Macaca mulatta: one gene and its partners. The protein of the gene in region 2 interacts with the protein of the main gene of each other region in a pairwise test. Links are inferred from orthologs where the notes say so. Each region holds a gene or a part of one and is shown on either strand. Other genes may lie near its edges.

What was found. The genes of interacting proteins can lie anywhere in the genome.
Region 1: the proteins of MTUS2 (region 2) and SNAI1 interact in binary tests that used the Homo sapiens proteins (3 or more experiments, as listed by UniProt). The two-hybrid records come from large-scale screens. The link is inferred for Macaca mulatta from reciprocal best matches to the Homo sapiens genes MTUS2 and SNAI1.
Region 3: the proteins of MTUS2 (region 2) and AQP1 interact in binary tests that used the Homo sapiens proteins (3 or more experiments, as listed by UniProt). The two-hybrid records come from large-scale screens. The link is inferred for Macaca mulatta from reciprocal best matches to the Homo sapiens genes MTUS2 and AQP1.

Annotation. Positions count from the first base shown.
Region 1 is NC_133415.1:102,827,294-102,831,243, reverse strand, and holds the end of SNAI1 (zinc finger protein SNAI1), read right to left. Parts: intron 1,543-3,950; coding exon 1,358-1,542; 3' UTR 511-1,357; downstream 1-510. UniProt on the Homo sapiens protein: Involved in induction of the epithelial to mesenchymal transition (EMT), formation and maintenance of embryonic mesoderm, growth arrest, survival and cell migration.
Region 2 is NC_133422.1:9,392,787-9,396,303, reverse strand, and holds part of MTUS2 (microtubule-associated tumor suppressor candidate 2), read right to left. Parts: intron 2,078-3,517; coding exon 1,979-2,077; intron 850-1,978; coding exon 730-849; intron 1-729. UniProt on the Homo sapiens protein: Binds microtubules. Together with MAPRE1 may target the microtubule depolymerase KIF2C to the plus-end of microtubules. May regulate the dynamics of microtubules at their growing distal tip.
Region 3 is NC_133408.1:97,453,253-97,457,161, forward strand, and holds the end of AQP1 (aquaporin-1), read right to left. Parts: coding exon 3,801-3,909; intron 3,472-3,800; coding exon 3,391-3,471; intron 2,568-3,390; coding exon 2,388-2,567; 3' UTR 511-2,387; downstream 1-510. UniProt on the Homo sapiens protein: Forms a water channel that facilitates the transport of water across cell membranes, playing a crucial role in water homeostasis in various tissues.

The DNA.
Region 1 (3,950 bases), on a different chromosome or scaffold from region 2:
TCTCACCCTCCTGGCTCCAGCCAGCCAATTTCCTTGCATCAAAGGCCATTTGGTACCCAGCAGCAAGACGGAGGTGTGGGACTGACAAGGAGGCCCGAGGGGGCCGGGAGCCCTTGGAAACAGGAAGGACATCCTCTGTCTCCTTGGTCGCATTCCACTCGCATGTGGGGGAAGCGGCCCCAAAAGACCTGCAGTGCTGGGGCAGCTTTGCAGCCTGCCTAGTTGATAAGACCCAGGAAGCCAGCTCTGTACCCCATGCGCCAAATCGGTTTCAAAATTCAAGAATGAGAAAGTAAACAAGAGCCACAGTGTATAGTGAAGAGCTCATATGGATGCTGCTGGCTCACCCAAACACCAGCAGACAGAACACCCAGGACTCCAAAGCCCTGTGACGTTTCCAAGGACAAGATTTAAGGCTGTGTCAGAAATATCTAAGCTTCAGGAATTCCTGTCTCCTCCTCCCCTACCAAAGACCTTTTAAAATACCCACTCCTCTATTACACCAGACTCTTTTCAATATATAAATTAACTGCTTTATTGAATATCAATAAACTGTACATATAACTATACAAAACGTTTCCTTGATACAAAATGTTTGAAATATAAATACCAGTGTACCTTTAAAAATGTAAACATCTTCCTCCCAGGCCCACCTGTCAGGCCCCCAAAATAGTTCTGGGAGACACATCGGTCAGACCAGAGCACCCCACTTGGGCCCCCGACAAGTGACAGCCATTACTCACAGTCCCTTTTGAGACACTGTTAAATTGCCCGGGAAACAGGTGCCACCCCACCAAACAGGAGGCTGAAATAGCTGCCCGGGCTTGGGGCATCTCAGACTCTAGTCTGCCACCGCCTCCGCAGGGCCCGGGGCTGCACCTGGGGGTGGATTATTGCATAGTTAGTCACACCTCGTGGAGGGTGGCCTGAGGGTTCCTTGTAGGGGGGTGTGTGTGAGGGGAGTGGGGTCCCCTGAGTGGGGTGGGAGCTTCCCAGTGAGTCTGTCGGCCTTTGTCCCGTAGCTCAAAGCAGCTGTATCCAAACAGCTCTGGATACAAAAACCCATGCAGAAAGGCCAGCTCAGGAATCCCCTGGGGGCTGGGACTGCCAGCTGCCCTCCCTCCACAGAAAAGGCCACGGGAAGGCCTCCTCCAGAGCCCACTGAGGGACCCAGGCAGAGGAAACAGAACCAGAAAATGGTCTTCAAGGTCCTGTGGGGCTGATGCAGCCAGAAGTGGGGCACTCAGAAGGGAATTCCATGGCAGTGAGAAGGACGTGGGGTCGGTCCTTCCTGCTGGATTGGGGGAAGGCTGTCGGGCAGGGGGCAGGTATGGAGAGGAAGAGGGAGCCTCAAGGGTCAGCGGGGACATCCTGAGCAGCCAGACTCTTGGTGCTTGTGGAGCAGGGACATTCGGGAGAAGGTCCGAGCACACGCCTGGCATTGGTACTTCTTGACATCCGAGTGGGTCTGGAGGTGGGCCCGCAGGTTGGAGCGGTCAGCGAAGGCGCGACTGCAGTGGGGACAGGAGAAGGGCTTCTCGCCTGGGGAGAGAATGCCAGAAAGGCCGAATGAGCCGTGGGACAACAGCTGGCAGTGATGGGAATCCCTCCCCGCATACCCTAAACCCCGAAAGAATCCCACGATCCCAGGAAAGTCAGGACTCAAACACGCAGCCAGAGTCCAAAGGCTGGGACCTGACGGAGCTCTGCTGCTTCCCACTGTGCAACTCTGGGCAAGTTGTCTGGCTTCTCTGAGCCTCCATTTTTCCACCTGTAAAATCGGGCTATCCATCCCCCACTCATAGGGGTTGGTAAGTGACAGAAGGTAGGGCACAGTACTCATCCACATCCCGCAGAGATGTGCGAAGTGGTCAACGACGACCGAACATCTTTACTGATTCGTCCTACTGTCACTTATCGGGGCCAAAGCCAGAGTCAGCCTTAAGAGGCCTCCCCACCCCCACCTCCAAGCTGGTTAGGCCACTCCTGGGGCTGGGCCAGCAGCCTGCTTTCCTCACTACCCCACCTCTGGTGCTGTAATCCCAAATCTCCTTGTCTGTTCTCCAATCAGGCTGAGTCCCATAAGGGCAGGGGCCTTCTTTGAGTCCATTCTAAGCCCCAGCCCAGGGCCTGGGCCCCTTTCTAACACCGAAGAGGCTATAGAAACCTGTGCCTCTGACACACCATCTGCCTGGCCAAGGCTGTGTCGGAAAAAGTCTTGCATATGGAGCTGGGTACCCAGTAAGTCCTCAATAAGCCCTTAGAGAATAATTAAGTCTGCTTTAAAAATTAAAAAGGCCTCAGAGGAGTCTGCCCCTCACTCATGCCTTGTAATAATCCCTGCTCCAACCAAAAGGCTACAGTTCCAAAAACACCAATAATGCTGTTTGTTTTTTTCTGGGGGATGCAGCATTTTCCACATAAAAGGTCATAACAATAACTCATTAAACAAAAATCTATTGAAGCCGGGTGTGGTGGCTCACGCCAGTAATCCCATCACTCTGGGAGGCCGAGTGAGGCAGGAGGACTGCTTGAAGCCAGGAGTTTGAGACAAGCCTAGGCAATAAAGCCAGACCCTGTCTATAATTTTTTTTTTAAATCTATTGATCTCCTACTATGTGCTAGACACTACTCTATAATACTGAATAGTCTCTTTAAAAAATATGCAATTCTCCAATCCCCTCACGCCCAGCCTGACATGCCCGCGAGGCCAGGGCCTGTCTGTGAAATCCCAGCGCTGGATGGAATTTAAGAGCTGAGAGTGAATTCATTCCATCACCTCCTGGGTGCCTAGGGTGCTACACTGAGCTACCAGGGTAGGAGAGAGTCCAGAGAATGATTCCAATGGGACCCATGCATTCCATAGGGACTTATGGAGCACCTGAGAGCTGGACTCACTCTCATGGGGCAGAAATGGAAACTCGACACTCCAAAGGGTGGGGGACACAGAGGACTGGGGGAGGGGTGCCTGAGCACTACTCCACTCTGCCATTACTCAGCAGCCTCCCCACGCCAGGCCTGAAGCGTTTGCTGATTGCATTCTAAGTCTTCATGTGAATGAGAAGGGTAAGTTCACCCTTGTGAACTAAGGGCTGACTCTAGAGATCTGGAAAAGGGGCTGGAGTCCATTTGTAAGACTGGAGTTACGATGGCACCCCCCTTCCCTTCCCAGGGCTGTTGGTGAAGTCCCGAGCACTACCTCCTGCACAGTAAGTGCTCTAAGTGTGATGAGACACAAACCCGAACAAAAGGGGAAGGAGACATTCTAGGACATGATGGGCTGGGGGCGGGGGCTGCACGCATATGCAGGAGGCACTGACCCCCACTCCTCAGATCCCTCGCCCCCCAGACGCCTTCATGGTACTCCTGGCAAGTGTGAAATCGGCACCAGGCCGGTGGGGACAAAGGGCGCCGAGGGGGGCACTGTACATGCGATACCCCCGGATTAAAGGGGCCTGCCACGCAGTGCGCCAGCAGCTGCGACTGGAACAGGTGCTGGGCACCCCTGCCCCATGCACCTGCTCCACCCCTCCCAGCCCCCACCCACTGGGCCCACCATTAAGGCACACAATGGGAGTCAATGAGGACCGAAATGATACATTTCAAGGGGATTTCTGTGCCTCAGCCATGCCTTTACATTAAAATAATGTCCGGATGGGAGGCGAGAGAGGCAGGCAGGAGAGCAGCATCCTGAGGGGTTCAAATCTCCCTGTGAGCTGGGCAGGCACGGGGAGCCCAGCAGTTGGACCTTTACATGTTAAAATCAGGGCTACTGGTGCAGGAAGGAAAAGAAATGGGTAGCCTTAGTCGAATAAGATGCCAATAAAGCCCGCGAAATGCCAGTCCTCCCAGATACCTCACTGACCCTCACTGCTCAGAGGTCAGGCGCCGGGCCAGGAATGGTAGAACCTGGCCAGCTTGAACCCTGTGGAATCTTCTCCCTCAACTGT
Region 2 (3,517 bases):
TTCTGTGCTCCCCTTTACTAGCTCTGCAGGAGCCAGGCTGGTGGGCTGAGGTGGACGAGTGTGGGTGAGAGCAAGGACTCTGTTCTGGACTGAATGTTTGTGTCCCTGAAAATTCCTATGCTGAAACCTAACCCCAAAGTGATGGTATTAGGAGGCAGAGCTGTGGGGAGGGGATTAGGTCCTGAGGGTGAGCCCCTGTGAACGGGATTAATACCCTTATAAAAAGGGCCCCAGGGAGATCCCTGGCCCCTACTGCCTTGTGAGGACCCGAAGCACTGGGCCAGGACTCCTAGCTCCATCTCCGCATCTGTAAAGCGGCTGGGGGCGGCAGCTCCTCCACAGGCAGCTGTAGGAGTTAGGAGCAGGCTCGGGGAAAGTGCTCCGTGCAGTGCCTGGGCACTGGGGATGCTGCATTGTGCTGGGTCACCACACGTCCCCAAGAGAGGGCAAGGAGACAGCAGGACTGTGGGAAAACCAGCGCAAAGCAGAAAGAGGCCACCCATCAGAAAGGCTCCAGAGTTGGACAAGATAAGGCCACCTCCAAGATTCCTTATGAGAGCTCCTGGCTTCCTGGGAAAGGCCTGCGGTGGGATTTTCTGCATAGGTGTAAGCAATGGGCAGGTAACAGACACACCTGGCTGAACACCTCAGTGTCAACGATGACCTCAGTGATGACAGCAGGAATGTCATGGAGGTTAGTTACTCTCGCGAGCAAACGGACCAACTCACCAGCTTTTCCAGCTCGAGAATCTTCTTTTCCTGCTCATGTATTTGCTGATTCTTCATCTCTAATACCTGCTTCAGACTCTTCATGTCTTCTTCCAAGTGCTGATAAGGAGCCAATGCAATCTACAGGGGCAGAGAGCCATGAGCTGTTGACCAGGGCTCCCGACAAAACCCAGTATTAACCAATACCACGAATCCAGCTAAATCCATCCTCCTGGGACAAGCGCCCTGATGGCAACTGCGACACCAAAGAGAGAGGATGCTACAGCCTTCCCTGATAAAGTTTCCCACTGAGAAGCCTCCTAAAATCCAGTTCTATGGGGGAGCAGGTGAGACACGGCCATCGTGAACTGGAAAGTCTGACTCCAGAACTGCTGGGTGCTGCCAGCCTATGCCTAGCAGGGAGCTCATGGGGTAGAAAGAGTAAACCCAACACTGGCTTTTAACATTCACCCGGAAGACTTGATTCACGAGGTAGCTGGGACTCTTACAGGTCTCACCTATGCCCGTAAAGAGCCCATGCATAGGAAATGAGTCAAGTGGTTTAAGAAGCAGAAAAGCCATTTTAGACAAAAGTCACGTTGGGGTAGTGCTGCTGGATGTAACAAATTAAAATACAGTAGGTCCTGTTAAATCCAAATTCAGATAAATGACATTTTAAAAAATTCAGTATAAGTATTGCATGGGACAGACTTATACTCAAAAATTTATCTGTAATTCAAATTTAACTGGGTGTCCTGTATTTTATTTGGCAACCCTACATTAGAGGGAAGGAACTTTGCCAGCTTTTCTGGAAAAAATTCCCCTCAACCTGTTAACGCATGCTGCAGCCAAGGCTGCCCCACGTCAGCCTAAAAAGTTGCGGGAGAACGGGCTGGAAGGGGTGGCCGGGCCGGGGGAACGGGCCGCAAGGGGTGGCCGGGCCGGGGGAACGGGCTGGAAGGGGTGGCCGGGCCAGGGTGGGGGTTTCCAGACCATGCTTATCACAGGAGCCCTGGGACTCCAGCTGGGGAATGCTGCGGAATTTGGCAAAAATAACACGTCGCTGGAGAAACCCACAGCTGCTGTCTGTCTCAGGGGAGAGGTGCTGACAGCAATTGTTTAAAAATCCAGGGGAGGCCGTGACCAGCTGTCACTTCAGCAGTGGATTCACAGAGAGGCCTTGTCTCGGGACTGGACTGCTGAGGGAGCCCCGCTGGCCTCGCTGGGGCGGGGTCCCTGCGGGGCTGGAAGCCTGGAATCCAGACACTACCTCCAGCTGCTCCTCTGTGTTCCTCCTCAAGGCCTCTTCGAAGCGGCGGGCTCTGTCCCGCAGAGACTGGCTCTGGAAGGTCAGCGTGTCCACCTGGTCCTGCAAGTAATGATACAAGGAGTCCAGCTGGGGCCACTACAGACAGCAGCCACCACAGCCTGGGCAGCTGTGATCAGTGGGCCACCACTGTGCCCTGAGCACCCTCAGAGTGTTTCCCTGGGGGCTGGAGAAAGAGATGCCAAAGGGGAACCCCCATAGCCACACAATGGAGGAGGGTGTCCCCCCGCGTCTGCCCTCAGCTCACTCCTCCTTGGTGCTTTGTCAGGAAGAGACCACAAAAGCACAGTGAGCCGGGGGCGTTTCACAACCTCTGATCCCACAGAGGCAGACAATCCTCAGAGAGAATCCTCAGAGGCGCCTCTTGTCCAGGAGGCACCCAGCCCCTGGCTTTGGGAAGGACCACGATGAACGTATTTCAAAGATGTATTCTCATTTAGGAAGCTCAATCCAGAACCCTTCAAGCCCTCCTTGACTTCCTTCTCTCCCTTGGGACCCCTCCCACATCACCAAACCTTCTCATCACGAAGTCCATAATCAAGTCCTGCCATCCTGAATGTCCCTAGAACCCACAGACTCCCCTGAGCTCCGGCCACTCTGCTGGCTACTTTCTGAGACGGTTCCTGTTTTTTTCTGAATGATCACTCCTTTGCCCTCACACTGTAGTGAGGCACTCTTTCTAACGTGCAAACCGGAACCTGTCCTTCTCCTCTCTCCTACCCCACTGCCCTCAAGCTGCAGTGCACACTCCCTAACACAGCGTCCTCCCAGCCTCGCTGCCTCCCTTTCCTCTTGTGCCAGCTCTCCTGCTGCCAGTGCCTTCCTCCAGCCAGCTCCCTCTCACTCCCGCTTCACTCTGGCTCCCACACAGCCTTCCCGGCCTCAGGACTGGGTTGCATGTCCTTGATAGGAGCTGCCACGTAAGCCAACTCCACACAGTCTCCTCCTCCCTGCTCAGACCCGCCCCGTGGCCAGACTGGCGCTCCCAGCCCTTAGCCTTCCCATGCCTGCCAGTTAGGCAGGCCGCTGGCCACTCTCCACCTGCAGGTTGAAGGAATATAAGGGTGTCTATGGAGACACTGCACCCCTTCCCCAGCTCCCAGCGCAGATGCACCTGCACTGACCCTGCCCCACTCAGCTCCGGCCATGACTCTCAGGACCACAGGCTGGCAAAGGACCGCTGATGCCCAAGGAGAGCTTCACCCGTCATGTCTCACTCATGCAGACCAGTCCAAAGCTCTTTGCCCAGCACCATTTCTATAATATCAAAACACAGAAACTAGGGTCTCCCATTAACTCTTCTAAAAAAGTATATAGATATACAGATACACACACAAAAAAAAAAAAAAGAGAGAAGGAGAGAGAAAGAGAGAGAGAGAGACAGGGTCTCACTCTGTTGCCCAGGCTGGAGTGCAATGGTACGATCTCGGCTCACTGGAACCTCCACCTCCCAGGCTCAAGGGATCCAAGGGATCCTCCCAT
Region 3 (3,909 bases), on a different chromosome or scaffold from region 2:
CTGGGCTCTGATGAGTGAGTCTGTCTCCCCTGAGATGCCCAGCCCCGGTCAGATGGGTTGCAAATGTGAGTGGAGGGAGGGAGGAAGGTGGAACAATCCCTAGTGTTCCCTGGGCCCTGCTCTGTGGAGGGTAGAGGGGATGAGGGGGCTGTTAGACTTCAGGCCTGCTTTCCCCCATCACGTCCATACTCCGGAATCAGAAATGGCTCCCATCGCTCCATTTAAACTGATCAGAAGCCTGCCCCTTTTCCCTGACCCCAGGTCTCCAAAGTCATCCCACTGGGCTCTGGAAGTCTCCGGCTAGGGGCAGGACCCTGTATCCCTCAGATAGGGTTTTGGGGGTGTGGCTGTATCCATCGCCTGAGATTGGTGGTCTTGAAGGCAGAAGAGGAGGCAGTGGCTCCTCCTCAGACTAGGTCTCTAGCAGTGGACTGATTTCCTTGTGGAGTCATCCAGAAACATTTGTGGGGACATGGCATCAAAAGAAGAAAAACTACAGGAAGCCCGAAGGACCTTACAAGTCATTTTCCTTTATTTGCTTAACATATAATGAAATTCCAACTCCAAAGAGACATATATGCAGAGCAGACAGATGCAGGGCCCTGGTGTGCAGCAGCCTAGAACCAAGCAGGGGGTGGGTGTGCCCCCTCTCCCCTCCATCAAACCCTCCCCACTCCTGGCCCCTGGCCATTGCCCAGGCAGAAACTGAGAAGCTGGAAATGAGAGGAATCAGCCTTGTGGTCCAGGGAGTAGCCAGAGACAGGGCCTTGGTTACTAGGCCTGGCCAAATCATTGTTTAGCTGAAACCGTGGGCCTCAGTTTATCTGTTAAATGAGCTAGAAGTTCCTGCTAGGGAATGGAGAAGACAGTGTGCAGTCGTGATGCGCTGGTGATAGCTAAGGGCCTCCTGGTTGTCCCTCTGCTTCTAAATACCTGTGTAATTGTGTCTCTTGGTTTCTGTTGCCATCATGGCTAAGTGCACAGTGGTGGAGCTGCTCTGGCCCTGGTGGAAATGAATGGACTTATGTAGATAGATGAGTGGAAGAATTCAGCCTTCAAAGCTGATTCTGATCTCTGAACTGTCCTTGGGCTGCAACTATAGCAACCTCATCACGTCAAGGCTGACCTCTCCCCTCCAGGTCAATGCGGAGGGAAGGCTGTGGCCAGGGGTCACACGGCAAGCCTGTGCAGGTTACTCACCTGCTCAAATGCCTCCAACCAGGAGCTCATGAACAAGAGAAGAGCTTGCTCCATCCTGCTCAGGACCAGCTGAGGGCTTGGAAAACCCCCAGGCCCAGCAAGGTCATCTGCCTCCATGGGCTGACCTGCATCAGGGTCTTTCTGTTCTCAGGCTTTGGGCTTCAGATAGCTCAAGTGCTCTTTGATAAACATACGCCAGCATAATGGTGACCTGTGTCTACACTGATGACAGGGAGTAGAGAACTGAAAGAATGAGCAAGATAATGCAGTGATAGATGGAAAGACCAACTGAAACTCAGAGAAATAACATGGGTATTCCTCCTTCACCCTCTAAATGGCTTTATTCTGTCTAGGGAAGCCTCTCCATGGGGAACAGAAAGTTCCAACTACCTGGCTGGCTGTCGATCTCTGCTTTGTAGCCTGTCTGCTCTGCACACACGTACACAGAGGCGTGTGGCAACAGGCATGCCCCTGGGGAAAGAACACAGGGCAAGTGGAAAGAGCAGCCCTGGTCTAGACCACATCTTCTGGACCCATACTGTGTCTGCACTTAGGGGTTGCAGGCCCATTGAGCTCTGCCGATCCCTGCCACTTTGCAGAAGGAGGTCGCTGAGGCCCTGAGATAGGGACAATTCCAAGGTCAGGCCATAAGTCCGAGCGGGTCGGGGGCCTGCGAGCAAGCAGAGCTGAAGGAGCAAAGCTTGCCCCTCCACTGCACCTCCTGGGATCTCTCCCCTCCAAGCACCATTGGGAGCAAGGTGCATGTTAGGAGAAGAAGGAGGGCCATGCCCAAAGGCACAAAGCAATTACAGTAGAATCCCAGGCACCTGCGCAGGTGAGTCGGCGAGCAACTTTGGGGCAAGGGGGGACTTTGTGGCACACCTCCCATCACACTCTGAGGGGGCGACTAGCAGGTGGGTCCCTTTCTTTCACCTCCTCCACGACTTCAAGGGAGTGGATGTATTGGTAAATCTTGGTCCCCAGGAAGCTCTGAGGCCAGGAAACAGAAAGAGAAAGAAAGAGATAGAAACACCCCCAAATGAGGCTTGACCATGCAGGTCTGGCAGATCTTGGGGAAGTGACTTTGGCCAGCTTGTCAGAGTGTCTACAATATGGATTTCACCCCTCCCCTCCCTCCGCCCGTCCCTGCCCCTGCCCCCTACGTGGATGCCCAGGCCAGACCCCTTCTATTTGGGCTTCATCTCCACCCTGGAGTTGATGTCGTCGGCATCCAGGTCATACTCCTCCACCTGGCCGCTGGTCCACACCTTCACGCGGTCTGTGAAGTCACTGCTGCGTGGGGCCAGGATGAAGTCGTAGATGAGCACAGCCAGGGCTCCCCCGATGAATGGCCCCACCCAGAAAATCTAGGAACAGAGCAGGTACGTTGAGACGGCTCCACTCAGAAGCCCCTGGAAATCGTTCCCTGGGTTACCTCCCAGCCCACCACCCCGTTGGACAGGTTTTCTCCCACCTGCGATGGAGGCAGGTAGGAGCACCAAATCCTAACATCCTGATTCCAGTGCCCTCAAAACTGGCCCAGGCCAGAGTACGTGGTAAGGGCACCTCCTTGCCTCTGCATGGCCCAGCTCAGGCATGGGCAGTAGCAGCCCCTTCTTGAGGAAGGCCACTGCCCCCACGCTTCCAGCTTTGAAAGGGCCCCAGATACCATTGCCTAATGCAAAGCTGGCCTAGCACATCCACATCCACAACCATAAGAGACAAAATCCACTGAGCGCCTCCTCTGTGTTGCGCTCAGTTTACAGATAGGGAGTGAGCCCTTTCCTCCTCCTGGCCACCCTGAGAGGTGGGTACCACCATATGCCCCTCCGAAGCTCAGGAAACCAAGGCTCAAGCACACGGTGCAAGGTCATGCTGAACCTGAAAGTGGCTGAGCCAGGATTTGGAGCCCCACTTTCAACCACACAACTGGGATGACCTGGAGGCCAGGCAGCATGGGGCAGGGCCGAGCTGGGAGGGCAGAGACTGGGCCTGAAACTGCTCACAGTGTGACCCCACCCTGCCTCTACATGGCAGGCCTCGGTTTCCTGATTTCCTGTCCCCTGGCTGTCTCCTAGAGCCTCCAGGACAGGAAGGGACACTGTGAGAGTGGGGTCAGGCTTACCATGGGACACCAAAGCCTCCCACCCTACCTCCCTGCACAGTAGGGGCAGCCTGTGGGTCGCCTACCCAGTGGTTGCTGAAGTTGTGTGTGATCACCGCGGAGCCGAAGGACCGAGCAGGGTTAATCCCACAGCCGGTGTAGTCAATCTGTGAGGGAAAGAGACAGGGAGAGGCAAAGGCAGAGAGTCACAGGTGAAGAGAGAGTGAGAGGAGGGAGAGGGTGGAGGGAGAGAGAACAATCAGGGTGGGGGACAATGAGACCCAGCAAGAGAGGAGTGCTGACCCCAAGCTGGGCAGGAGGTCCCTCTGCTCCTCTCCAGGGCAGGACCCTGCCCCCCAGTCCCCAGCACTGACCTGCCGTCCTCCACCCAATGGCAAGAGCCCTGCCGGGAGCTCCACTGGCTGCCCATGGCAGGGCACCCCACCAGCCCCTGCCCTCCCTTCGCCCCCACCATCTGGGTGGGCCCCTGACTCACAGCCAGGAGGTGTCCAAGGGCTACAGAGAGGCCAATGGCAAGGGGGGCTGAGCCACCAAGGTCGCGGCGCCTTCGGTCAGTAGTGGCCAGCACACACAGCACCAGCTGG